4 linked regions of the Arabidopsis thaliana genome follow. The protein of the gene in region 4 binds, or shares a complex with, the protein of the main gene of each other region. Each region holds a gene or a part of one and is shown on either strand. Other genes may lie near its edges.

What was found.
Region 1: SFR6 (region 4) and NRB4 share a complex: the UniProt entries of both Arabidopsis thaliana proteins name them as parts of the mediator complex.
Region 2: SFR6 (region 4) and AT1G23230 share a complex: the UniProt entries of both Arabidopsis thaliana proteins name them as parts of the mediator complex.
Region 3: SFR6 (region 4) and AT2G22370 share a complex: the UniProt entries of both Arabidopsis thaliana proteins name them as parts of the mediator complex.

What each region holds. Positions count from the first base shown.
Region 1 is NC_003070.9:5,430,614-5,438,328, reverse strand, and holds the start of NRB4 (mediator of RNA polymerase II transcription subunit 15a-like protein), read left to right. Parts: upstream 1-1,710; 5' UTR 1,711-1,975; intron 1,976-1,976; exon of another isoform or gene 1,977-2,115; coding exon of another isoform or gene 2,116-2,173; intron 2,174-2,399; coding exon of another isoform or gene 2,400-2,407; coding exon 2,408-2,520; intron 2,521-2,644; coding exon 2,645-2,756; intron 2,757-2,932; coding exon 2,933-3,050; intron 3,051-3,150; coding exon 3,151-4,536; intron 4,537-4,635; coding exon 4,636-4,706; intron 4,707-4,828; coding exon 4,829-4,903; intron 4,904-5,231; coding exon 5,232-6,515; intron 6,516-6,627; coding exon 6,628-6,972; intron 6,973-7,116; coding exon 7,117-7,323; intron 7,324-7,417; coding exon 7,418-7,715. UniProt on the Arabidopsis thaliana protein: Component of the Mediator complex, a coactivator involved in the regulated transcription of nearly all RNA polymerase II-dependent genes.
Region 2 is NC_003070.9:8,242,628-8,250,479, reverse strand, and holds the start of AT1G23230 (mediator of RNA polymerase II transcription subunit), read right to left. Parts: upstream 6,041-7,852; 5' UTR 6,000-6,040; coding exon 5,892-5,999; intron 5,812-5,891; coding exon 5,768-5,811; intron 5,682-5,767; coding exon 5,582-5,681; intron 5,495-5,581; coding exon 4,556-5,494; intron 4,420-4,555; coding exon 4,177-4,419; intron 3,970-4,176; coding exon 3,700-3,969; intron 3,591-3,699; coding exon 3,389-3,590; intron 3,292-3,388; coding exon 3,020-3,291; intron 2,805-3,019; coding exon 2,721-2,804; intron 2,626-2,720; coding exon 2,531-2,625; intron 2,384-2,530; coding exon 2,221-2,383; intron 2,128-2,220; coding exon 1,711-2,127; intron 1,628-1,710; coding exon 1,514-1,627; intron 1,434-1,513; coding exon 1,308-1,433; intron 1,233-1,307; coding exon 1,084-1,232; intron 839-1,083; coding exon 598-838; intron 420-597; coding exon 1-419. Other genes in the region: AT1G23220 (Dynein light chain type 1 family protein), read right to left, coding at 6,344-6,502, 7,636-7,852. UniProt on the Arabidopsis thaliana protein: Component of the Mediator complex, a coactivator involved in the regulated transcription of nearly all RNA polymerase II-dependent genes.
Region 3 is NC_003071.7:9,500,283-9,503,766, forward strand, and holds AT2G22370 (mediator of RNA polymerase II transcription subunit), read right to left. Parts: upstream 1,929-3,484; 5' UTR 1,797-1,928; coding exon 1,755-1,796; intron 1,608-1,754; coding exon 1,508-1,607; intron 1,418-1,507; coding exon 1,360-1,417; intron 1,283-1,359; coding exon 926-1,282; intron 840-925; coding exon 737-839; 3' UTR 502-736; downstream 1-501. Other genes in the region: AT2G22360 (DNAJ heat shock family protein), read left to right, coding at 1-177. UniProt on the Arabidopsis thaliana protein: Component of the Mediator complex, a coactivator involved in the regulated transcription of nearly all RNA polymerase II-dependent genes.
Region 4 is NC_003075.7:2,496,330-2,500,969, reverse strand, and holds the start of SFR6 (sensitive to freezing 6), read right to left. Parts: upstream 3,040-4,640; coding exon 2,702-3,039; intron 2,625-2,701; coding exon 2,556-2,624; intron 2,466-2,555; coding exon 2,377-2,465; intron 2,294-2,376; coding exon 2,181-2,293; intron 2,070-2,180; coding exon 1,968-2,069; intron 1,524-1,967; coding exon 1,433-1,523; intron 1,246-1,432; coding exon 649-1,245; intron 441-648; coding exon 1-440. UniProt on the Arabidopsis thaliana protein: Component of the Mediator complex, a coactivator involved in the regulated transcription of nearly all RNA polymerase II-dependent genes.

The sequences.
Region 1 (7,715 bases), on a different chromosome or scaffold from region 4:
TTTGGTGAAAAGTAAAAAAACAAACTAGTTGTTTTCTCGTTTCGAAAACTTAAAACTATGTTTCACTGGACTGAAATATTGAGCAGTTGATACGCACCAACTCTTTCAAACATTGGCGGCTAAAGATATTGCAGAAAACATCAACATATTACACATTTACACATAGACAACCTCTGTCATAAGAAAAGTTTCTCTTTTGACTTATAGGACATGTACACTTGACAAGTTAGGTGAGTTTGATTGTTTCTTAGGTAATGATACTGAAATTTACATTTGTTAAATATGTATAAAACCTTCAACCGGTTTTGTGTTTTGTTTGATGAATATTATGTGATGATTATTCTAAAATCCCCTATAATAAAAAAGTTATAAAAAAAAAAAAATTTTTAGTCTGATTATATTTATATCATAGTTCATTAACAAAACAGTTAAAATAATTGAATTAAGAAAGGACACAAATGTATTTCAAAATTAATTGAAAATCGTCTTTATTTGCTTTTATTTTTAAAATCAGATTATTAAGGATTTTATTCCTTAACTATCTACATATACATTTTTGCAGTCATTTTAGCAAATAAATCTTAGAGTTGGACTTATTTACAACCCAATGCCATTAACATTAAATATTTTCCAAAATAATTAATTTTACTTTAAATTTTTAATTTAAATTGTCAATCACATTATCAATCAAATTTAATCCAAACAAACTTCACATCAATCCCTTAAAATTAGCATAAACGTATTTTATTAACTATATTTTAAAACAATGTTTTTTGTTTAAATAAATATTATTCTTACTAAACGTTTTTTGTTTAAATAAACAAATCATGTATTTGAACTTATTTACAATGTCATACTACTGACATTAATTATTTAGGCATGAAAATATTTATTTAAGGATTTAAATCTTCTAAATTCTTGCTTTTAGAGTTATTATATCATTACCTAAAAGGCAAAAAATATTAATTTTTTAAATATTATTATTTGTATATTTAAACTTCATAAAACATTATCAATATTTGAATTTATAAAAAGTTTAATTTATCAAAAAAATTAACATCATTATATAATATATAGAGTTTTAAAAAATCTCAAAAAAAAATTCGTCATATTTTGTGATTCGAAATTTTAAGAATGAACATATATTAACCAATTGGCGAAAAATGTGTGGGTTCAATGTCACGCAACGACTAAAATATTTTGACAATGATTCATAAACATATTATAAATAAGATCAACATTAATAAAATAAATAGTTTTTTTTTTGGACGGGTTTGGCAGGACATGTTTGGTAGGACGGATTTGGCAGGACGTTACTTAGTAACAATGGTAAACTATAAAATAATTTACAAATTTTATATATATTAATTTTTAAAAATGAATTGTCTCCGCGGTGTATCGCGGGTTAAAATCTAGTAAGGTTTATTTTTCCAACCTATAAAATTATTAATAAAAAATGCTGTTTTGTTAAAAAAAACGTAAACAACATATGTGACTTAATGTACTTTTATTATATCTAATTTTATTATCACTTTATAATCACTTTTCTAAAACGTTTTCTAAAATGAAACGAAAAATATATAATTTATTTAAAATTGAAAAATAGTGGTCATATTATCTAGTTAACAAATTTCTAATACATTTTGCACCAATGCTACCATATTTGAACTGGGAAAACTATACAATTATACATGTGGTAATTAATACTAGATTTTTTTGTTTATTTTGAAAAAAAAAAAAACTTGTTATAAGCGAACTGGTAGGCTCGATTATGATTTACGACGCGAACAAGTTTCCTCTGTCTCTTTACCTAGAAGATCCTATATTCTTCATTCGTTTTTCGATCAAGCTAAACCCTAAATCCAGCTCCAATTTCCCCTTTTTCTCCTCTGTTTTCCTAATATCAAGCCCTAATCGTTGTACCAACCTTGACTCCGTCAAACGCCAAATCTCCTTGATTGGCTCTGAATTTGAGGTGAAATGTTCGAATCTCGTTTTTTTTTCTGTTGTTCTTAAGCCTTGCTTTTTAGAGTTTTCTCTTTTGATCGGGATTCCAAAGAAGATAAAGTATCTCCCTTTGTAGTTGGGTCTGGTTTATTACAATTACGAGAATAGATGAACTTTGTTGATGTAATAAAGTTTGCTTATTTTGAGTTCCTGGATTCTCGTTCCGGTGGGATTGGCTATTTGATGTTTTGAGTTTATTGCTTTTTGCTACCAACATTAGAAAGAATGAACATTTTGGCTGATCAATAAGAAATTCTGAGTGTTAATCTAATCCATGTTGTGTGGTCATTTGTTTCCTGTTGATTTGGGATAATCAGTTGTTATATTGTCATGTTTTGGTTTCTCTGTATACTTACTATTGATACTTTGCTCTTCATGGCTTGTAAACACAGAAAACTTGATGGATAATAACAATTGGAGGCCTTCTCTTCCAAACGGAGAGCCTGCCATGGATACAGGTGACTGGAGAACGCAATTGCCACCTGATTCTCGTCAGAAGATCGTCAACAAGATGTAAGTCACTCTAGCGGCGTTGTTTTGTCTATGCCAGTCAAATACTACAGAAATAGAAGGTTATTATGTTCCTTGACCAATAGTTAGTTTGTTTGTTTTACTTATTTGCTTGCCACTTGCGCAGAATGGAAACACTAAAGAAGCACCTTCCATTTTCCGGACCAGAGGGAATTAACGAGCTCAGGAGAATTGCAGCTAGATTCGAGGAGAAAATTTTCAGCGGTGCTCTTAACCAGGTTATTATGAACATATATTCTTGTTTCGTTAGTATGGTAAATATAGAGATTTGTGAGGCAATGGACTCCACAACATGGAAAAGAACTGACTTTCGGTATCTGTAAAGCTAAGCCACAATATGTTGGGTATGAAATCCATGTATACCTTCCTGATACTCTTTTATATCGCCTTTCAGACTGATTACCTTCGGAAAATATCAATGAAGATGCTGACAATGGAGACTAAATCACAAAATGCAGCTGGTTCTTCCGCAGCTATCCCTGCCGCTAATAATGGCACATCCATAGATTCGAGTAATCACGATTCTCAAGCATGAATTGCTTAAGTCTGTTTATCTGGTTTTATGGCTAATTGTTCCTCTTATTTGATGCTGTTTAACCTTTCCTTGAATAGTACCCACCAATCAAGGCCAACTTCTTCCAGGATCGTTATCAACCAATCAATCTCAAGCACCTCAGCCGTTGCTGTCCCAAACCATGCAGAATAATACTGCCTCTGGAATGACGGGTTCTACTGCTTTACCATCTTCCATGCCACCTGTTTCTTCCATAACCAATAATAACACCACAAGCGTTGTGAACCAGAATGCCAATATGCAAAATGTAGCTGGAATGTTGCAAGATTCATCTGGGCAGCATGGCCTTTCCTCGAACATGTTTTCAGGACCCCAAAGGCAGATGCTGGGTAGGCCACATGCTATGTCTTCACAGCAACAACAGCAGCCATATCTTTACCAGCAGCAGCTACAGCAGCAACTTCTCAAGCAGAACTTCCAGTCAGGGAATGTTCCCAATCCCAATTCGCTTTTGCCATCACACATTCAACAACAGCAGCAAAATGTGCTGCAGCCTAATCAACTGCATTCATCTCAACAACCTGGTGTTCCAACATCTGCGACTCAGCCCTCCACTGTGAACTCAGCTCCTCTCCAAGGTCTCCACACCAATCAGCAATCAAGTCCGCAATTGTCTTCTCAGCAGACGACACAATCTATGCTTCGTCAGCATCAATCGTCGATGCTAAGGCAACATCCGCAATCACAACAAGCCTCTGGTATCCATCAGCAGCAATCTTCATTGCCGCAACAATCAATTTCTCCTCTACAGCAGCAGCCTACACAATTAATGCGGCAACAAGCTGCAAATAGCTCAGGCATCCAACAGAAGCAGATGATGGGGCAGCATGTTGTTGGGGATATGCAGCAGCAACATCAGCAAAGGTTACTGAACCAACAAAATAATGTTATGAACATACAACAGCAGCAGTCGCAGCAGCAACCACTGCAGCAGCCACAGCAACAGCAGAAACAGCAGCCACCGGCCCAGCAGCAGTTGATGTCTCAACAAAACAGCCTCCAGGCAACGCATCAGAACCCACTGGGCACTCAAAGCAATGTTGCAGGATTGCAGCAACCACAACAACAGATGCTCAATTCCCAGGTTGGCAATTCGAGTTTGCAGAATAACCAGCACTCGGTGCACATGTTATCACAACCAACGGTTGGGCTGCAACGAACACATCAGGCTGGCCATGGCTTGTATTCTTCTCAGGGACAACAGTCACAAAATCAGCCATCACAACAGCAGATGATGCCACAGCTTCAATCGCATCATCAGCAGCTGGGTTTGCAACAACAACCTAATCTGCTACAACAGGATGTGCAACAAAGGCTACAAGCTTCAGGCCAAGTCACTGGTTCCCTGCTTCCACCTCAAAATGTTGTGGACCAACAGAGACAACTATATCAATCCCAAAGAACCCTTCCGGAGATGCCATCATGTATGCTTTTGATCCTTTTAATACTTTAGGTTCTGATATTTTCCATAATCTCTCAGCAGGATATGATGCTGAACATATTTTCGTTTTTATAATTCTTAGCATCGCTGGATTCGACAGCACAGACGGAAAGTGCAAATGGAGGTGATTGGCAAGAGGAGGTTTACCAAAAGGTAGTTCTCTCTTTTTGTGTTTGCTATATATCTTTACCAATTATGGCTACACTTATTAAATCTTCAAGTGATAGATATCATTGTAATGAGTAATCATATGACCATATTGCTTGTCTTTGTAGATCAAATCTATGAAAGAGACTTACTTACCAGATCTGAATGAAATCTACCAGAGAGTTGCAGCAAAGTTGCAGCAAGTAAGTTACAATTTTCTTTTCTTTTTTATACTAGGAGAATCGTTTGTACGTCTATGTCCTCTGGAACAGTAGTGAGTACCTTCTGAGAAGCTTTATGAATTCAATGCAAGTTCGGTTCGTTATTGCATAAGAACGTCATCAACTTTGGAGTCTTGTTACCCATTTAACAAAGAAAAAGAAAAAGAATCTTGAGACTCGTATTCTTACAGTTTACTAGAAAATCAACCTGCTGATATTTATGTTCCTTCCCAAACCTACAGAAGTTGTAGCTTGCATCTATGTATTTGTTTCTTTTTTATTTAGTAAGTTATTTTTGTATCTGGAGCAGGATTCTATGCCACAGCAACAAAGATCAGATCAGCTTGAGAAACTGAGACAATTCAAAACAATGTTGGAGCGAATGATACAATTTCTATCTGTTTCAAAGAGCAACATCATGCCCGCATTAAAAGATAAGGTGGCTTATTATGAGAAGCAGATTATAGGTTTCTTAAATATGCACAGGCCGAGGAAGCCAGTACAGCAAGGGCAGCTTCCGCAATCTCAGATGCAGCCTATGCAGCAACCACAATCTCAGACAGTTCAAGATCAATCCCATGATAACCAAACAAATCCGCAGATGCAATCAATGAGCATGCAGGGTGCTGGGCCAAGGGCACAACAGAGTAGTATGACAAATATGCAGAGCAATGTTCTATCATCTCGTCCTGGAGTTTCAGCTCCACAGCAGAACATTCCCAGTTCCATACCGGCTTCTAGTTTAGAATCAGGCCAAGGAAATACCTTGAACAATGGACAGCAGGTTGCCATGGGATCTATGCAACAAAATACTTCTCAACTAGTAAATAACAGTTCTGCCTCTGCTCAAAGTGGGTTGAGCACACTGCAGTCGAATGTGAATCAACCCCAGTTAAGTTCCAGTTTGCTTCAGCATCAGCACCTCAAGCAACAGCAAGATCAACAAATGCAGCTCAAACAGCAATTTCAACAGCGCCAGATGCAACAGCAACAGTTGCAAGCAAGACAGCAACAGCAACAGCAACAGTTGCAAGCAAGACAGCAAGCGGCACAATTACAGCAGATGAATGATATGAATGATTTAACATCGAGGCAGGGGATGAATGTCAGTCGTGGGATGTTTCAGCAACATTCTATGCAGGGTCAGCGTGCGAATTATCCTCTTCAACAGTTAAAACCAGGAGCTGTTTCGTCGCCTCAACTTCTGCAAGGTGCATCTCCTCAGATGTCACAACATTTGTCTCCTCAGGTTGACCAGAAAAATACTGTCAACAAGATGGGAACTCCATTGCAACCTGCAAATTCCCCTTTTGTTGTCCCATCTCCTTCTTCAACCCCCTTGGCTCCGTCCCCTATGCAAGTTGACTCTGAGAAACCTGGTTCTTCTTCGTTGTCAATGGGAAATATTGCACGCCAACAAGCAACCGGCATGCAAGGTGTAGTTCAGTCCCTAGCAATTGGCACTCCAGGGATCTCTGCCTCTCCTCTCCTTCAGGAGTTTACTAGTCCTGATGGGAATATTTTAAATTCTTCGACAATTACATCTGGAAAACCGAGTGCTACTGAGCTGCCTATTGAACGCCTTATTAGAGCCGTAAGTAAATTTCCAATTTTTAAGGGTATATCGCAGCAGGACGGTGATATTGCTGCAAACCCGTTTTGTAATATAATCATTGTTCTGCTTATGATGTATGCTTTGCTTTCAGGTGAAGTCCATCTCACCACAAGCCCTTTCTTCTGCAGTAAGTGACATCGGATCTGTTGTAAGCATGGTTGATCGGATAGCTGGTTCAGCACCAGGAAACGGTTCAAGAGCTTCCGTTGGTGAAGACTTGGTTGCAATGACTAAGTGCCGTCTCCAAGCAAGAAACTTCATGACCCAAGAGGGAATGATGGCGACTAAGAAAATGAAGCGTCACACAACCGCAATGCCACTAAGCGTTGCTTCACTGGGAGGAAGTGTTGGTGATAACTACAAGCAGTTTGCTGGTTCAGAAACATCCGATCTAGAATCTACTGCGACTTCGGATGGCAAGAAGGCAAGAACTGAGGTATGATACTCAGTTAGACTTCCCCTAGCTATATTTGAATATTGACACACACTCACACACACACACACACACGTAACAAAGAAAATTTGGAAGCACAAGGTTTCGATATTCTTTTTTTTTTGAAGACTCAATCTTGAACTGCAGACCGAGCATGCCCTTTTGGAGGAAATAAAGGAAATAAACCAGCGGCTGATAGATACAGTTGTTGAGATAAGTGATGATGAAGATGCTGCTGATCCTAGTGAGGTTGCAATATCAAGCATAGGGTGTGAAGGAACAACAGTTAGATTCTCGTTTATAGCTGTTTCTCTCAGCCCAGCCTTGAAGGCTCATCTCTCATCAACACAAATGGTAAACATGGTCATCTCGTTAACATTAACGTTTTGTGAAACAAAATATTTCATTTATCCTTTTTTATAATATATGCTTTGTGCTTCTATTACAGTCTCCTATTCAACCATTGCGTCTGCTGGTTCCTTGTAGCTACCCCAATGGCTCTCCATCTCTTCTAGATAAACTCCCGGTCGAAACCAGGTACAAGCAAATCCTTCAGTCTCAAGTAAATAGAACCATAGATTTTCCGTACCGAGTCGAGCAAACTTCTACGATACAGTTAAAATCTTCACAAGAATCATCTACTAGAAACCCTTTATTAGAAACTGCGTTATCTTCTTACCGTAACACGGTCTGGTTTCTTGAACAGCAAAGAAAACGAGGACCTGTCGTCCAAAGCTATGGCAAGG
Region 2 (7,852 bases), on a different chromosome or scaffold from region 4:
TGGAACCCGTTTCCAGATTGAATCAGAGTCGATTGTATGTTGACAATTATCTGGACAAGCGAAGAGACAATCTGAGCAGCAGAGACAGGAAGCGAGAGGATCTCGATCACGGCTGTCTCAAGAACCAGTTGCGTGTAAGTTCCTGGGTCCTGGATCTGATAGAATGCTTTCTGGCCCTCAGAGGCGTTTGCTGGTCCAGGCTGAGATGTTCCTGGAGTTTTTCCATGAGGAGGTCTTGCTGAGCTGTTTAAGATGTCTGCCATTGAGCCAGACCTCGAGCTGCAGTTGCTGCTGCTGCTAAGTGGAGGTATAACATTGTTTACGAGATTAAGCAGAAGAGAGGCAAAGTAATCTAGAGGTGGGCATACAGGTGCACCGGTAGGGCTAATGTACTGCGGGAATGATTCAGAGAATGGAATCTGCGGAAATGTCAAAAGATTTGTTACGTTCCATTTTAATCGAATGTGGAAACGATTACGGACAAAGGTATCTAGATAAATTGGTGAGAAACAAAATCTCTAAACTAAAATCCAAAAGCGGCATCAACTTGAGGTCAATTTCAGAATCAATGTAAGATCGGGAATTGTTTTCAATTACCTTGCTGAGATCAAGTACTTTGAGCATGCGCAGAACAAGTTTCCCAGGAAGATGGCCATAGAAATAGGCTAGTATATCACGGACAAACGTGAATCTGAGAGGATGATACGCTAGAAAATGCGAGTGTGCAAGCAAAAGATTATCAGCTTGCTCCATCGCATTGTTCTCGATGAGCCTGTAAAGCACTAGAGGGATAACTGGAAGCAAACGCGCTGCAATATCATCAAAGAACGTTGGATACCTGCGTTTAACACAATAAAAAAATAGGTAAAACATTTACCCAACTTTAGCAGAATCCAACACCAAAATTAAAACAGATCAAACCAAAATTCAACTATTTCCTAGTCATACACAAGTTTTCATGGAAGGTTCCATCACACATTTATGGTTGGATGCCAACAAAACCAATCAAACAATCAAAGCCATGTACTTAAGTGAAATTGTTGTTAGAAATCAGTTACACTGATGTTGAATTGGATATATTACCTGTCCTTCCAAGAAAGATGGTTACCCAGGGCCTTCTGGAGTTCATTGCGTTTGAACACCTGTGTGACAAGCCAGTGCTCAGGAGACCCACGGTTTTGGCAGTAGTTTTTTATCCTCAGCAGAAGGTCTGGCGTTTTAAGTAGGCTCATCTGTAAATAAATTGAAAACAACACTGTAAAATTTCTATGATGTTAAGCTTCTTTTACGTAAAAGCATGAACATACTGCAATTATCAAGGCGTGAGGATCATCATCACGGTCAATGAGCGCCAAAAGAAAAATGTCGAGAGGAAGCATTTCATGTGTCCAGAAGAAAAATGCAAGATTTGCGCCTGCCTTGTCTAGAACTGCCTAAAAAATATTACGATGCAATGTAAGAAGATGGATCAAGCAACGAAAAGTGAGGTTAATCTCTTCTGGCAGACAGAAACCTCTAGAGATTGTCCTTGCTGAAGGTCTACATGAACGTGGTGAAGCAAAACATCGACCAAAGTGTATATGTTAGCAGTGACTTCTTCAGGAGAAACTTCTCTCAGAACTCGTGCCTGATAATCATTTGGAAGAGAAAATCATACCACTATCAACAAACAATCATTTCACAATTATGAATAGACTAAGCAAAGCAAACCAGATTTGTGCTGTTGATGTTTTCAGCGTGGCCTTGCATCAGCAGACAAGCACCAGCACATAGATACTGACGGTGTTGAGGAAAACTGTGACTGAGGTATGTTGAAACGTAAGCGGGTTCAGCAGATGGTGAGAGAAGTTGAGTGCACTGGTTTATCACAGTTGTTTCAGCCTGTTGCCATGCCTGAATTGATAGGCCCCTCTTGTCTACCCGTCCTTTCAAAGTTTCACGGAGAAGGGATGGGAAATGCCGCATCGTCTTCTCTGACCATGTATGCTGACTCGTCGCGAGTATTTGTTCCAACATGGTTTGCAGATAAACCATGTGATCAGGGTCTGCGATACCACGTGTTTTGATAGTGATAGCAAGAGTCATGATGGTTATGCGATTTAACGTCTCAGTGAATTCAGTTGGCCCCTAGTGATGATAACATAAGAACAATTATTTACACCTGAGATCCAGGCACAAAATAAGAAGGGGGACAGTGAGTAATTCGAAAACACCACTTACTTTTCCCTCCCGTTTCACAGAGAAAAAGTCTCTGAGTGATAAAATGAGATTCATGCATAAGTTTTCAGCTAGTCTGAATATACGGTGGTCACCACGTTTTCCTTTCAATGCAGATATTATTTTAGTAACATCATACATTAAAGTTTTACTCTTTCCTTGGTATCTGCAATAAGATCAGTAATTTTGTTTAGTCGGGTCTAACAGCCAATATGGCGAAAGCCCGAAACAATTGTCATCTAACTAAAAGAATGACCCAGTTAAAACATAAAGAAGGATCTACTCCAACTTGAGAACTTTTCGCTCGTTTTACCTGTAGAGTGGCAGCAACCGATAGTTCAGAATCTCAAGAACAAGTAACGTCACTCCAGGCTTGCTTAGCAGAGAAGCATTTCGCTGGGCCAATTGCTACAGAAAGTTAGCTAATCTTATGAATCGCTTATGATCAATAAAACATAAGATAATGAAAGTCAAAAGGTAACAGAAGGAACCAAATAGCTTACACTGAAATGTGAACGGAACATCGAATGAGGGGAAATCAGAAGCAATCTTGTGTATGTCTCAACCATTGCAATGCTAGGAACAACCTGCACTCAGATGTTTTACTACGACACTAAATTCATTTTTCTCAGGTTTTTTAAAATCTACTATTAACATTTTTAAACAAGTAAAACGCTAAAGTTGTTTTACTAAACCGTGGAGAAAATAGGTCACTAAGTAAAAATGACCAAAGAAGATGTTCTTCATAGATCAGTGTATCAATTAACATATATAATATCTTTGTGAGACAAAGGAAACAAACCTGGCTAACAAACAAAGCTTCTTCCATCTGAAGGGCCAATTTCAAGCACAAATTCATTGAAAAGCCAGATAGCAATGACATAGGTAACGGGGTAACTTCCTGCGTCATCATTACTCGGTCGTTTGGCTGTAATCCCGGTAACTCAGCCATGCCAGCTGAAGATAGCCAATTTATAACTGTTTCACATGCTGGTTGTGCCATGGTGTAGGAAACAACCCAAAACATGCCAATCGACCTATCATCCATATTCATATAATCCATCATCCGCTCTCCTGACAACCCCAAACAAGAAACAGAATGAGAGGATGCTTTTTATAATCGGGATTCTCTGCTTCCTAGTCTAAGCCCTGCCATTGAAACCTTATGTACCTTTGCTTCTCCACCACTCATCGATCTGTTTTCCCTTCAACAGCTGTTCATTGTTTAGGTATGCCCTAGTTGTTGTGCTTAGTGACCAAATCCGTAGATTCTGACAACTGCTTACGAAGTCAAGCAACACACTCTGAGGATTGTTGGGATCAGAATTTCTGTCTTCCCTGTGAAATGATAAGATCTTCCTAGTAGTCTCCACCTGAGAGAAAACCCAAATAGAGCACAAATTGGGATGTTAAATTCGCCGAAAAAGAAGTACAAGTAATTGCATTGCAGCTGCAAACATATCATTGTAATTGAGTAACGACCTTTTTAGCATCTGAGTTCAAAGCAGTCATCACAAGCTCCACGCGTATTATTTGTGCAAGCAGCCAAGTCACATGATTCGTCCGAAGAATATGGTTATCAACACCGTTAAGGCGTAAAACCAACTTGTCAATGAAATCAACAAAATCAGTACACCCACTTTTGATTAGAAAGAAGAATATATCCGAGAAAACCAGCCACTCTTGCCAGCAATTTGCATCTGCATAGAGAGGGGGAAAAGTAACAGATACCAAATCAATACCAAAGCAATCCTAGTATAATGGTATCTCAACTCTTACTTTTATCTTTTCTATCTAAGCCTAACGAATCAACGATTATAGAACTAGAATAAAACGTAAAGGATGTAGGTTCTTTACAGATTGTGACGACTAGCAAAACCACTTGCTATTTCAAAATAATTTCCACAGATTTAAATGGAAGTGACAGATCAAAGACATGAGAAATAGGGAAAGACAAACATTGCCTGAGTTGGTCAGCTTAAGAAGCTCAACAATTCTGTCAATGATTGCCTCACAAATCATGTCAGAAGTGAATACAGCACCAGGGATAGGCCCTGCTTGTGTAGATGGTCTATAACAAGGGGCCACAACAAGAACACGCTTCCACCAGTCCGGTGACGGTGTAGTGCGAATAGCATGTCTAATGCAACGCACTGCTCTCTCCCAATCCAGGCTTCCTTTTGGAATAGACATCGCCAGATCCTGCCGGTGTCGAAAAAGAAGAAGAGAGGATTGAAATTCACAAATTGTCTGCCTAATGAAAAGCGTATACATTACACAATATCAACAAGAGCCAACTAAGCTATGAAACCAATCTCCACAATTTCATAGGAATCACCTCTCCATATAAAGGTTCCCCAAGCACACTTGGATATGTAATTGGTGAATGTCGTAAGTGTGGCACAGCTTCGGGTGGAACATTGGCAGTTATTTGGGAGACTATACGATGGGTACCAAATGATGGACAGTGAAGATGTTGGTCCAACATGAGCATATGCATGGCCATCGCATCTCGCCTCCGGTGTATCTCCATGATAAGAGTGAACAAGGCTTCATCATCAGGTATGTTCTCTATAAACTGTAGACCACTGCGCAATAACTCATAAAACGGAATTCGAGATTCACCCTCTTCTACCAACAGCCAGATCACATCCAAACAACTCCGCAACCATTCAGCTAAAGTCTTCTCAGATCTCCACGACTTTCCTACAGAGTCCTCAGTTCCCAGATCTCTCCTGTCCCAGTTAACAAGCCAATTCATCATGTACTGGAAAATCTCGGCATGAGTAACGGGTTTGAGACTAGATTCAACGCCAATCAAGATAATCTTGCAACTGAGCTGACGCAGACTGTTTACAGCAGCAGCTCTAATCCGTTGACTATTTCTCATAGCATTCTCTCTTACAATCTGGCCAGCTCTTGCAATCTGCTGCCCATTCTCCACAGATTTCACCTCTGAAGCTGATGGAGAACCAATACCATGAGCTGAAGGCAGCAATGACGTTGGATTCACAGACACAGGAACTACAGACTGCGAAGAAGTAGCAGAAGAACCAGCCGTTGCCGCTGCTGCTTGAACACCTTGGCTTAACGACGCCTCAGCAGCGGAAACGGAAGAGAGAAGGGATGGTAAAAAAGTATCCCAATTGATATAACTAATCCTACACAATGTACGCAAAGCAAAGAGTAGAAACTCAGCACGAGGCGCATGATTGCTACATTGCACCACCAGAGATATCAAAACTGACTCAGTAATCGTCCTCAATTGCTCTGGATCCTAACAAAGAGTTGGAAAAAAAAAAAAAACTTTATCTTACGAAATCACAAAGAGAAAGATAAAGATAGTTAAAAAACGAGACTTTACATTGAATTGGCTCTGAAGCAGCTCAAAATCCAAAAGGAATTGCTCGTTTCTTGGTGGTAAGTCTCTATTAGGAGCATGAACACGCTTCTGTGATTTGTTCCTGATCAAAACAATCAACATGGATAAAATCAAACACAGAAGGAAGAGAAAACAAGAGTTGATTCAGAATCAATAGAAACAACATACGGGGGATCTCGGAGGGACTCATCAGGCTTTTGACGGCTTCCTCTCTGTGATAGAGAAAGCAAAATCAGCAGAGAAACAAAATTCGATGAAAAAAATTGGGAGATTGGAGAAGAGATTAACCAACCCCTAAGTAGAGATTGAAAAGATCGATAATTGCAGCACGAGCTGGGTGGAATTGGTACGATCGAGAAGACGATGGCGTTGCAGCGACTGTTCGCTGCGATTGATCCATTTTTTTTTCTTCTTCACTGATTCTTTTTTTCTTTGATGCTTATAAAACGGAGGAGCAAAATTGGTATTAGAGGTTTTGGGTTTAAAGCTCTTTTGAAGAGAAGAAAATGTCAACAACAACAACAACACAACAACGAAAAAAACAAAATTAGAATTTGAGAAAGAGAAGAACAATATTTTGCATTGTGAAGTTGAAACGATTCACAGTAGAGAAGATGACTTCTAATTACACAATAGGAGCCACAAAGATTTTGTCTTAGGCAGAATTACATTGTGGGATACAAGACAGAGAATTCTAAAAGAAAAGGATTAAATTGAAGATGCTCTGATCATCAACGTTTTATCTCATTTTTGATCTAACGGCTCCACGGCAGTCTTGAAGAGAAGAACGTAAACTTTGTCGATCTGAAAATATAGGAATCCTCCTGTGGAATGAGTCACGTATGAACCAAAGCTTGTTCCAACAATGCAGTGCCATGCCGGGCCGTAGGCTGAATCGAAGTCCTGAAATGGAAGACAGATGGAAAACTGTTTCGTGAATATATAGTTTTAAATCAGCTGCAACATGTCATTAGACAGATGGGAGTCTAAGATTCACTTCAGTGGATAACATAGAAGCTGGATTTAGGAGAAAACATAGAGACAAGAAACATATGAAGATCTATTTCGAGATAAGAGATCTATATTACCAGAACAAGAAGATAAAACAAGACAACAGCAGAAATTGACTCGTATGTCAATCCTAAAAGCCAAAGGGAGGTAGCCATTATTAAGAGATTGATGAACACTGAGACAAACAAGTAAGCTGCACACAGATAAGTGAACACTAAATTGTTTTACTCAACCACTTCATAAAATCAATGTATGGATCAATCAATGCCTCTACCTAGTCGCATAAATTGAGGGAACTGCTCCATTTCGCTCCATAAGTTAAAATCAAAAGCTAATTATCAAAGCCGCTTTAAGAAGGAACAATATCCTCACGAGAAACAACTGCATAAATGGACAACTCTATATATGGGGTGTCGAACCAAGTCCTTTGTAAAAGGTTGTATTCAGGCAAGGCTCACTTCCTAAAGCAAGCATGCTTCAGAGTTATCATTAGGTAGCAACTAATTTCTAACAGCAAAGATACAGAAGCTTAGCAGATGGTGCATGCTATGCCTCATTAGTTATGGCCTAAGACAGCTCCAAAATCATCTCAATAAACAACAAGAACATCCAGTTTCAAGACATTTCACAACGAGACTCCTACTACAGTTATCCTCGCAATACAAAAACAACCTAGTCAAGTAGACTAACCGAAGCTACAAATAGAAAAGACAACAACAATGGAACAAAGTCAAATGCAACCTAACAAATATGGGACCATCCATGAAGTTCAACAATATGCAAGTACACAAACGAAAATCCAAATTCAAGATTCATCACATCTTCAAACCAATCAAGAAAGAGAAGACCATAACCACATTCTACAAAAAGCATGCGACTTTGAGACGTAGCCCTAGAACCCAAAAGCAGCTCAATACTTTTAGATTCTGTGTCAAAATTCAAAACTCAATCCAAGTACTAGACTTCAATGACTCCAATTCAACCCAAATACAGAAAAATCATGAGAGAGATACAAAAGATCTAACCTTTTTTAGGGCATGAGCGAGTCTTTTGTTATCAGCCTTCCCTGGAGTAGCATTCAAAATCTCACGCGACAAACTAAAGGCTCTGTTCTGTTGAGGCAAAGGCATATCTGAAGCCCTAACACGAACATTGAACTCATCTTTCTGATCTTGCTGTTCTTTAGCCTTCTTCTTCTGTATCAAACTGTTCAAGAACTTGCTTCTTCTTTCTAATTCTAGC
Region 3 (3,484 bases), on a different chromosome or scaffold from region 4:
ACGCTTGTGATGGCGAAAAAAGGAGTTCCGGTATTGAACAAGAGTAATATGAGAGGAGATCAGTTGGTGAGAGTACAAGTGGAGATACCTAAGAGATTGAGCAAAGAGGAGAAAAAACTTATTGAAGAGCTTGCTGATATGAGCAAGAACAAGACTGCTAATAGCACCAGTAGATGATTAGAAACACGAAAATTTTGACATTGAAATTATGAATCTCTCTATACATATACATTTTTCTACTCTGGCTTGTGATATTTAGAATGGCTCTTGAAAAAAGAAGAAGCAAGTGGAGGAAGATGATTATTGTTGTGGAAATGGAAGAATTTTAGAATTCATTTTTTTGTGGTTCAAATTTTTAATATGTTAGGTTTTAATAGGCTTTCAAATTGGAATTTATTAGTGATTGAATGATAAATAAAATAGTATGTAATTCCACAAAGACATTCACATTATTTTAATCATGTTCGAAGCTTCATAAACTATCAATCTACTGACAAGTGACAACAATGAAACATCATAATACCAAAAGGTTGAGAGAAGAGCAAAGATCATATGCAAGTTGTGATTTATAAAGAATATTTATTAAAGATCCCTTACTGATTCTCATTAAATAATACTTAACTCTAATGGTTCACAAGATTTCACAACCATTGTGTAATCTGGAAAATTGACTAGATTGGACCAAAAGATCTAACAAGAGAGAACACAAGAACAGTTGTTTTTAACTTCAAACTTCTTACAATGTAGTACCTCCTCCATCCGACATAAGAGATGCAGCCGCCGCAGCAGCGGTTGGCACAACCCCCGTGGAGATAGACGGTTTCGACAAGTGAACAAGCCTGAAAACACAAGGAATCATATCACTGATGAAGCTTATATCAAAGACACTATCACAGGTGCTGTAAAATATATCAGATGAACTTACGGAGCAAGAAATTCACAGAAAGATGAAACAGCAGCAGCGACTTCACTGTAATTCTCAGAAGTTGCAGGAGCAGTTACATCAACAATCTGCATACCAGGTGTTACAGGAACAGCCTCATCTATAGCATGAACTTTAGGCATCTTATTAACAGAAGATACAGAAACACTTATGTGCGCAGTCCGTTGGAAATGAAAGGCGAATCCGACTTTGAGAAGCTCATGGTCTAGTTTGTAACCGAGTGCATAGAACATACGCAAAGCATTCTTGCTTACTTTACTTTCAATCATATTTCTAACCAAAACAGAGATTTGATCAGCTCCTGCACCTCTCATCGCACCACCAACATGTTTAACCGTCCTATGGTTCTTAAATTAGCTTCCTTTGAATGAAACAAGAACATATACAACAACAACAACAACAAGAAGAAGCTGTACCATGTGGGTTCGGGTTGATCAAGATCACATAATAGCCTAACTTCTGATGACACAACTCCTGAAAAAGTGAAGATTTCACAAATGTGAATCATGTATGATTCATAGGAAGCTTCAAGTTTCTGAATTTAACAAAAGGAATTGGCTTTACCAAGATTTGGGCCGCTTCTTAAGCATAACTCATGAACTCTTAAACGTTCGCGTTGAACACCACAAAGACCTTGAAGAAGAATCTCAAGAGCTTCAACATGCTGCAAAATCCAGTAGAAAATCTAATCAAATTCTAATAAAAATTCAAGCCTAGGGTTTATCAATTGGACATCATAAGAAAGCTAAAAGCTGATCCATGAACTCGAAAAACTTGGGATTTGTTCGTCAATCAAAAAATACAAACGAACCTGTGTCTCGATGATTCCTTGAACCACACACTCCATTGACATTGAGCTATCACAAAATCTCTCAATTAAAATCGTAAATATATTCTCAACAAGACCAAATCCGAAATTGGAAAAACTAACGAAAGCTTCCTAAATCGTCCTCGGGAGCGAATCTGAGATTTTTTAACACCGGAGAATTTTAGCTAGTTACTAGAATCACTTGTGTAGTTGTTATATAGTAGTTAGCTGTAGATAAAGCAAGATGGCCTATTAGCTCAGTTGGTTAGAGCGTCGTGCTAATAACGCGAAGGTCACAGGTTCGATCCCTGTATAGGCCATTTCGTTTTTTCTTGTTGCCCCTTTTTTGGGAACTCGATCATAATAAAAACTCTAGTGCATCTCGGTCATTGATTAGTGATCACCAAATAGCCCATTAGCTTAGTTGGCCGCATGATGAGAACATAACCACCGGTTAACCGGAGTAAACCGTCATTAGTTAGGTTGAAGATAGAATTTAGTTTGTGCTATCTTTGCTAAAAAGTTCATGAACCCTAACCTAATTAGTTGGCATTTTAAGAAGTCAACTAGTTTCGATAAAGTTTATGAACATAGCAAATGATATTTATATATGGTTATTTCATCTTGGTTGTGATTACTGTAAATGTCTACTAAGTAGAATGTGTTAATTCCTTATAATTGTTGACAAGAAATATGTAGAAAATTTTGTCAAAATTATTGCGATGTTGTGTAGATTAAGTGGCCACTACATCACCACAATCCTTTAAATTATTAGATAAAAAGTTCAAAAATAAGTCAAATAACCATGTTTACGAAAAGTTTGGAGGAGAATAGGAAAAATGTAAATATATTTATTTTAGCCTCAAACAATTCTTCTCTATTTCAATAGACGAATGAATCCTCAATTTTGCATTAACTAAACCATTTTAGTTTCTTCATTCGTCAATAATATCCTCAAGTGTGTAATCATGTTAATGCTCGTCTAATATACCGGTAACTCAAACCGGCCTCATTTTAACCTACCTCACCAAATTTGTAGAGGTAGCATAATACACGGGCCAAGTTGAATATCCAAGTTGATATTTATGCTTATAATGCATCATTTATGAATTGCCAATTGTCAAATGCCAAGCATGCTTTTGTGGGAAGGCTTATGAATTGTTTACAATGATACAAGATGCAAATGTAAAACCAAATATCATCAGGATATATTAATACAAGAGTCTATGGACTTGTTTCAGAGGATGAAAAATATAAAAACAAAAAGGTGTTCAACAAAAATAGGTCAAGCTTTGGGTTGTATCCAAGTTTATGTATTAGTGATCCGAGCAAGAGAACCTATCAATGCGATACACGTGTAGCAATCATTAATCAAATCCACGTATGACGACTTTGACTACCATACACTCTAGTACTCTCTACCGTAGAGGATTACATTTTAACCCTACGATTAGTTTAATCTCTCAGTCCACCGGAGAGTGTAAAAACAGCGAGAAAATCGACGTCGTTCGATCGCCGACTGCGAGCGAAGAAGAAGATGGCTGAAGAAGAGGTTGACTACGTATTCAAGGTTGTTTTGAACGGAGATTCAGCGGTTGGGAAGTCACAGCTACGAGCTCGGTTCACAAGAGACGAATTCAGTATGGATTCCAAAGCCACAATTCGGTGTCGATTTCAATACTCGAACGCTCGTTATTGACGATAAGAACATCAAAGCTCAGATCTGGGACATC
Region 4 (4,640 bases):
ATTTATTTGATAGTTTTCAACAGGTGAAAAAGTTGGACCAGAAAAGATATGAACTCCACCACGAAGAAAAGCAATCGCAATTTCACCACCATGAGCAGAATAGACAATCCGTGCAAGTGTCCGAATATCACTTGGCAAATCAAAAGGATCAAATACAACCTTGTTAGCCTTCTCATCACCAGAATCAGGCTCCTTTGGTGCATCCACACTTGGTCCTGCTGCAGCTACTTGATGATTCTTAAAATCTTTAGTAGGTGGTATGCTCATATCCACTCTGGATACCCAGACAGTTTGCGTGGGGACCTGTCCTCCAAAATTTGAAGTTGGGTTTCCAAATATCTGATGCAGTACAACAGGTTGAACACTTGATTCCCAGCGCTGTACTCTCCAGCCTGTGATTGAAGGACCTTCATCTGGATCATACGGAGACATGTACTGCCCTGCAGACACAAACAATTAGCATTTATTTTAAACAATAGATTGAAGCTGTTGCGCTTCATCACTCAAACAAAATTAGCATTTTCTCATCTGGCAGCTCTTCAATATATGAGCATTTCTAAATGATTGACCAAAAACTAAACGTAAACCTGAAAATGTTTATTCAATCATGGAAACAGTATGAGGTTCCGAGAAGGATGAGAACAGTACCTTCAACTATAACAACTGCTATCACTGAACCACCACGAGTTGGATCAAAAGCAACAGCGGTAACACCAGATCCCCATGTTGTGGTTGCTGCAGACTGAGCTGCAGCCTCTGGACTTACATAAGCAGAAAAATTGGAAACCGGTGAGCAACTTAGCGATATAGCATCACTGGAATCTTGATCTGAGGGCTTCTTCCCTTGCTTTATCTCGGATATTAAGTATTCTTGCCAGCTAAACAAGTACGCAGCTAAAGGAGCAAAACCTGTCCAAGAAGAAGAACTAAGGGATGGTGGCACACGACTGCCTGTAGAGATTTTTGGAGTCGCCTGGAGTCCATTTCCAGGGCCAGGGGTCACCTCCCATACTACAATTGTTGAAGGGTTTACAATTGGAACTCCTGCTACATGCATGGCACCACTGTCTGTTATAATAGCATCAGCAGCCATAATTCCACTTGGCCCTGCACCTAAAAGACCTTTCTTTGTACTAAACCACTTTGGTGCAGTGCTTCCCTGGTTAGAAGGCCACTGGGACCAATGAATTTGAACAGAGCCGGATGAGAAAACAGAGCATACACAGAGAAAGTTGGGCCACCGAGCTGCAACAAATGGTAGAGAATCAGAACCGTCACATAAAGTGGAGGAAAATGCACTAACGTCAGAACATGTTGTATTGATCTTGTCACATATATTTGGATGTCAAAGGAACTGACATAATTAAAATTAAGTGCATAATTCTGAATATATCATCAAAAAATGAGTCACAAGAGGCACGCAGAAGAAAACCTGAGCTTTCAGAGCTCTGCGAGAGAAATTTCTCCTCGAAAGTTGACTTTGCATTTGTACCAGAACTTGGCTTGGAGGACAACCACCTATACTGATTATCAATAAAAAGAAAACATAGAGGATAAATTTCCTAGGATAAAACTAGAGCAGCAAACTAGGTGGCCAGAAACAACATGATATTAAGTCCTTCAGAACATGTTCTTTGCAATGGCATTATTATCTATCTGTTACTCATTTCCTTATGTGTTCATGCCGATCATTAAAGAAATGCATCTAAGAAACGCAAATTGGAAGATCTTTTAGGAGTCTAGTAATTTTGCAAACAGAGAGTTGGGATTTCCAGGACGTTGTGTTTTCTCCATCTCATTTCCTCCAAAACGTAGAGACATTTCCAGTTCAATTACTCACGATTTAGTAATCCCAGTGCCCACTCTCACATGCAAGCCCTCCATTACTAATTTAACGAACTCATTAAGGGACAAATATGCTGTGCATTTGATAGAATGGCAAATAAGCAAAACATAAGATTACATACTGGGGAAGCCCCTGTCAGCCACTTTGTAACAACAGCAATGTCCTGACGCCATTCATGCTCACACTGCCAGGAGGTAGCGTCGTGCACTAAATTAGCCGAACCCTGCAAAACCAATCCACAAAAAAAAAATCATCTGAGGGTGTCATAAAACATCTTGACACAGAAGACAAAGAAGAAATATAAAGGTAAATCCCAGTGATCAGGAGCACAAACCTGAGTAGGCTGCGTCCAGATAGTTATACGTCCATGAAAATTAGCAATGAGTAACGCACGAGGACAAGAAGTGGGAGACCATTCGATAAATTGGACAGAATCACGAGGAGAGTCTACATATAAAAAATTGCATCATAATCGTTTATCACCCACTAGATCAACCGAGTTCATAAATAATTAACTGATATCAAAATACCTGCCACAACATTAAACACCGCACACTCAGTAGGGCGCTCAGGTATCAAGATATGTATTGGTATCCAAAAAGGTGTATTTGCCTTGGAGCTGCAAGAGATGAGAACAGAGAAAGATGAAAATTGAGAAATTCATCACTGCCCATACATTCAAGACATAGAAAAGTAACAAAAACCATACCTTGGAATCCTGGCACAGGTCTCGGAAGCACAAGCAATAGCATTCAATTTGCCACACCACGCAACAGCACTAACACAAAGAAAAGGAGAAAACTTTACAGGAATTGATGAAATTTAAAGATTTTCCGATGGGAGAGAGAGTCAAACCTGAAGTTACGGCACAATTCAGGAACACTCATCTTATGAAGCAAATTGGAATTGGGCTGCTTAAGCTTAACACAGAAAACTGTAGCCGGACTCACAGGATCAATCTCCATGTTACTACTACTACTATTATCGTCTTCTTTCTCTCCGTCTACTGATTTCTCTAACAATTTCTCCTCAACGACGACGAGAATCGGATCGGTAGACTCAATAGTCTCTTCCTGCTTCTGCTGTAATCCTTCTTCCTCTTTCTCCTCCACTATAGCTGGAGCTTCGATGATTCCTCCACCACCGCTATTATTAACCAAAGAAACTTCTTCTTCTGGGTTTTGCTGATTCATGTCAACGAAAGCAAACAAAACCCTAAATTTATAGAAAAATCGGAGAAAAGAGGGCAAGTGTGACAAAAAGTCGCGATTGAAGGCGACAGAAAGCACTGTGCGTTGAGAGAGAGAGAAAGTGTCAAAGTGAGAAACTGTTAAGTGGGGTTAACGAGACGACTTAGTGCGGGGAAAATTCCAAAATCCCCACAAAATCAAAATCGAACAAAAAATGCAATTTTGATTTTAGGGTTTGGTGGAGTCACAGTCTCGTCGCCGGGATGCAGAAAAAAAATCTCGGTGAAAGTGATGCAAAAACGCCGTCGTGTCTGGTCACTTTCTCTCTAAATTTTTTTCCCCTCTTTTTGTAATTTTTTACTTTTTCTTTTAAGAGCAAAAAATGAAGAAGTAAATTTTAAATGATAGTTTTGAATCTTTTGATTAAGGAAAATGATCATAATTTCATTTTTTCTTCTAATTTACCATCTTCAAATTCAAATTTGTAAACATGGAAAGGTACTAACTTAATTTGACATTTGGCATTTGAGGATCCTTGTTTGACATTAGTTTTTTTTTTTTTTTGCTAAATTTGTTAATATCATTACAATGAGAGTTCAGAAAATACAAGAACGTACAACCTATAGAAAAGTAACCAAGGCAAAAAAAATAAAAACAAGGCTACAATAGAATTAGAAAAGATTTAGGTGTGTTTAACGAATCCATAAAAGCATTAGCCGCTGCCAACGCTTGCGATGTCGTCGAGAAGTGATTAGGTTGCGAAGCTCACGATCCACCAATTTGAAGATGATAAGAGGTGCCACGCGAGTAGAGTTGTGCAAAATATTAGGCTTAGGCATTAGTTCATTTGCCTCCTCCCAAATCAAAAGTTAGGCTTAGGCATAAGTGTTTCCCATGGTTGTTGTATCTCCCTCAATGTAGCACGACCAAGAATGAGAATCACTTATTGCTTACACCAAATTCTTTGAGTTACATGCATAGCGTACTGAAAACTAGTTGTTTCGGCTTCTAACTAGATACAAGCAGAGCCATCCATGAGCACAAACGGGTCAAGCTCATGCTTGCGGCTTCAATTAATATAAAGGGAATTTAATGAAAAAAAACCTCAACTTTGGCCAGATCCATTTTTAAACCCTAAACTATGTTTTTAGTAAAACAAACCCTGAACTAAAACCTGTTAATAAACTTAACCCTAAACGTTGTTTAATTACTGTGGGGTTAAGTTTATTAACAGGTTTTAGTTCAGGGTTTGTTTTACTAAAAACATAGTTTAGGGTTTAAAAATGGATCTGGCCAAAGTTGAGGGTTTTTTTCATTAAATTCCCTAATATAAATAAAACTTTTGCCTCATTTTCTTATAACTTTCAGTAGAAAAGTTGGTTATTTGCTTATAAGATTACATTAGAGAGTCAAAAGTTTGAGTTCATCTTCATCTTCATTTGCCTTTTTATTTATTTTTTCATTTTCACTCATTAAACTAGAACCAAAAAAAAATTCCTTCTTTCAATCTATTAAATACTAGGGATGGATATGTCTTTGCACCATACCCTTTTAACCACCTTCTCATATCTAAGAATGCACCAAATTTCAAACTTATTCATTCC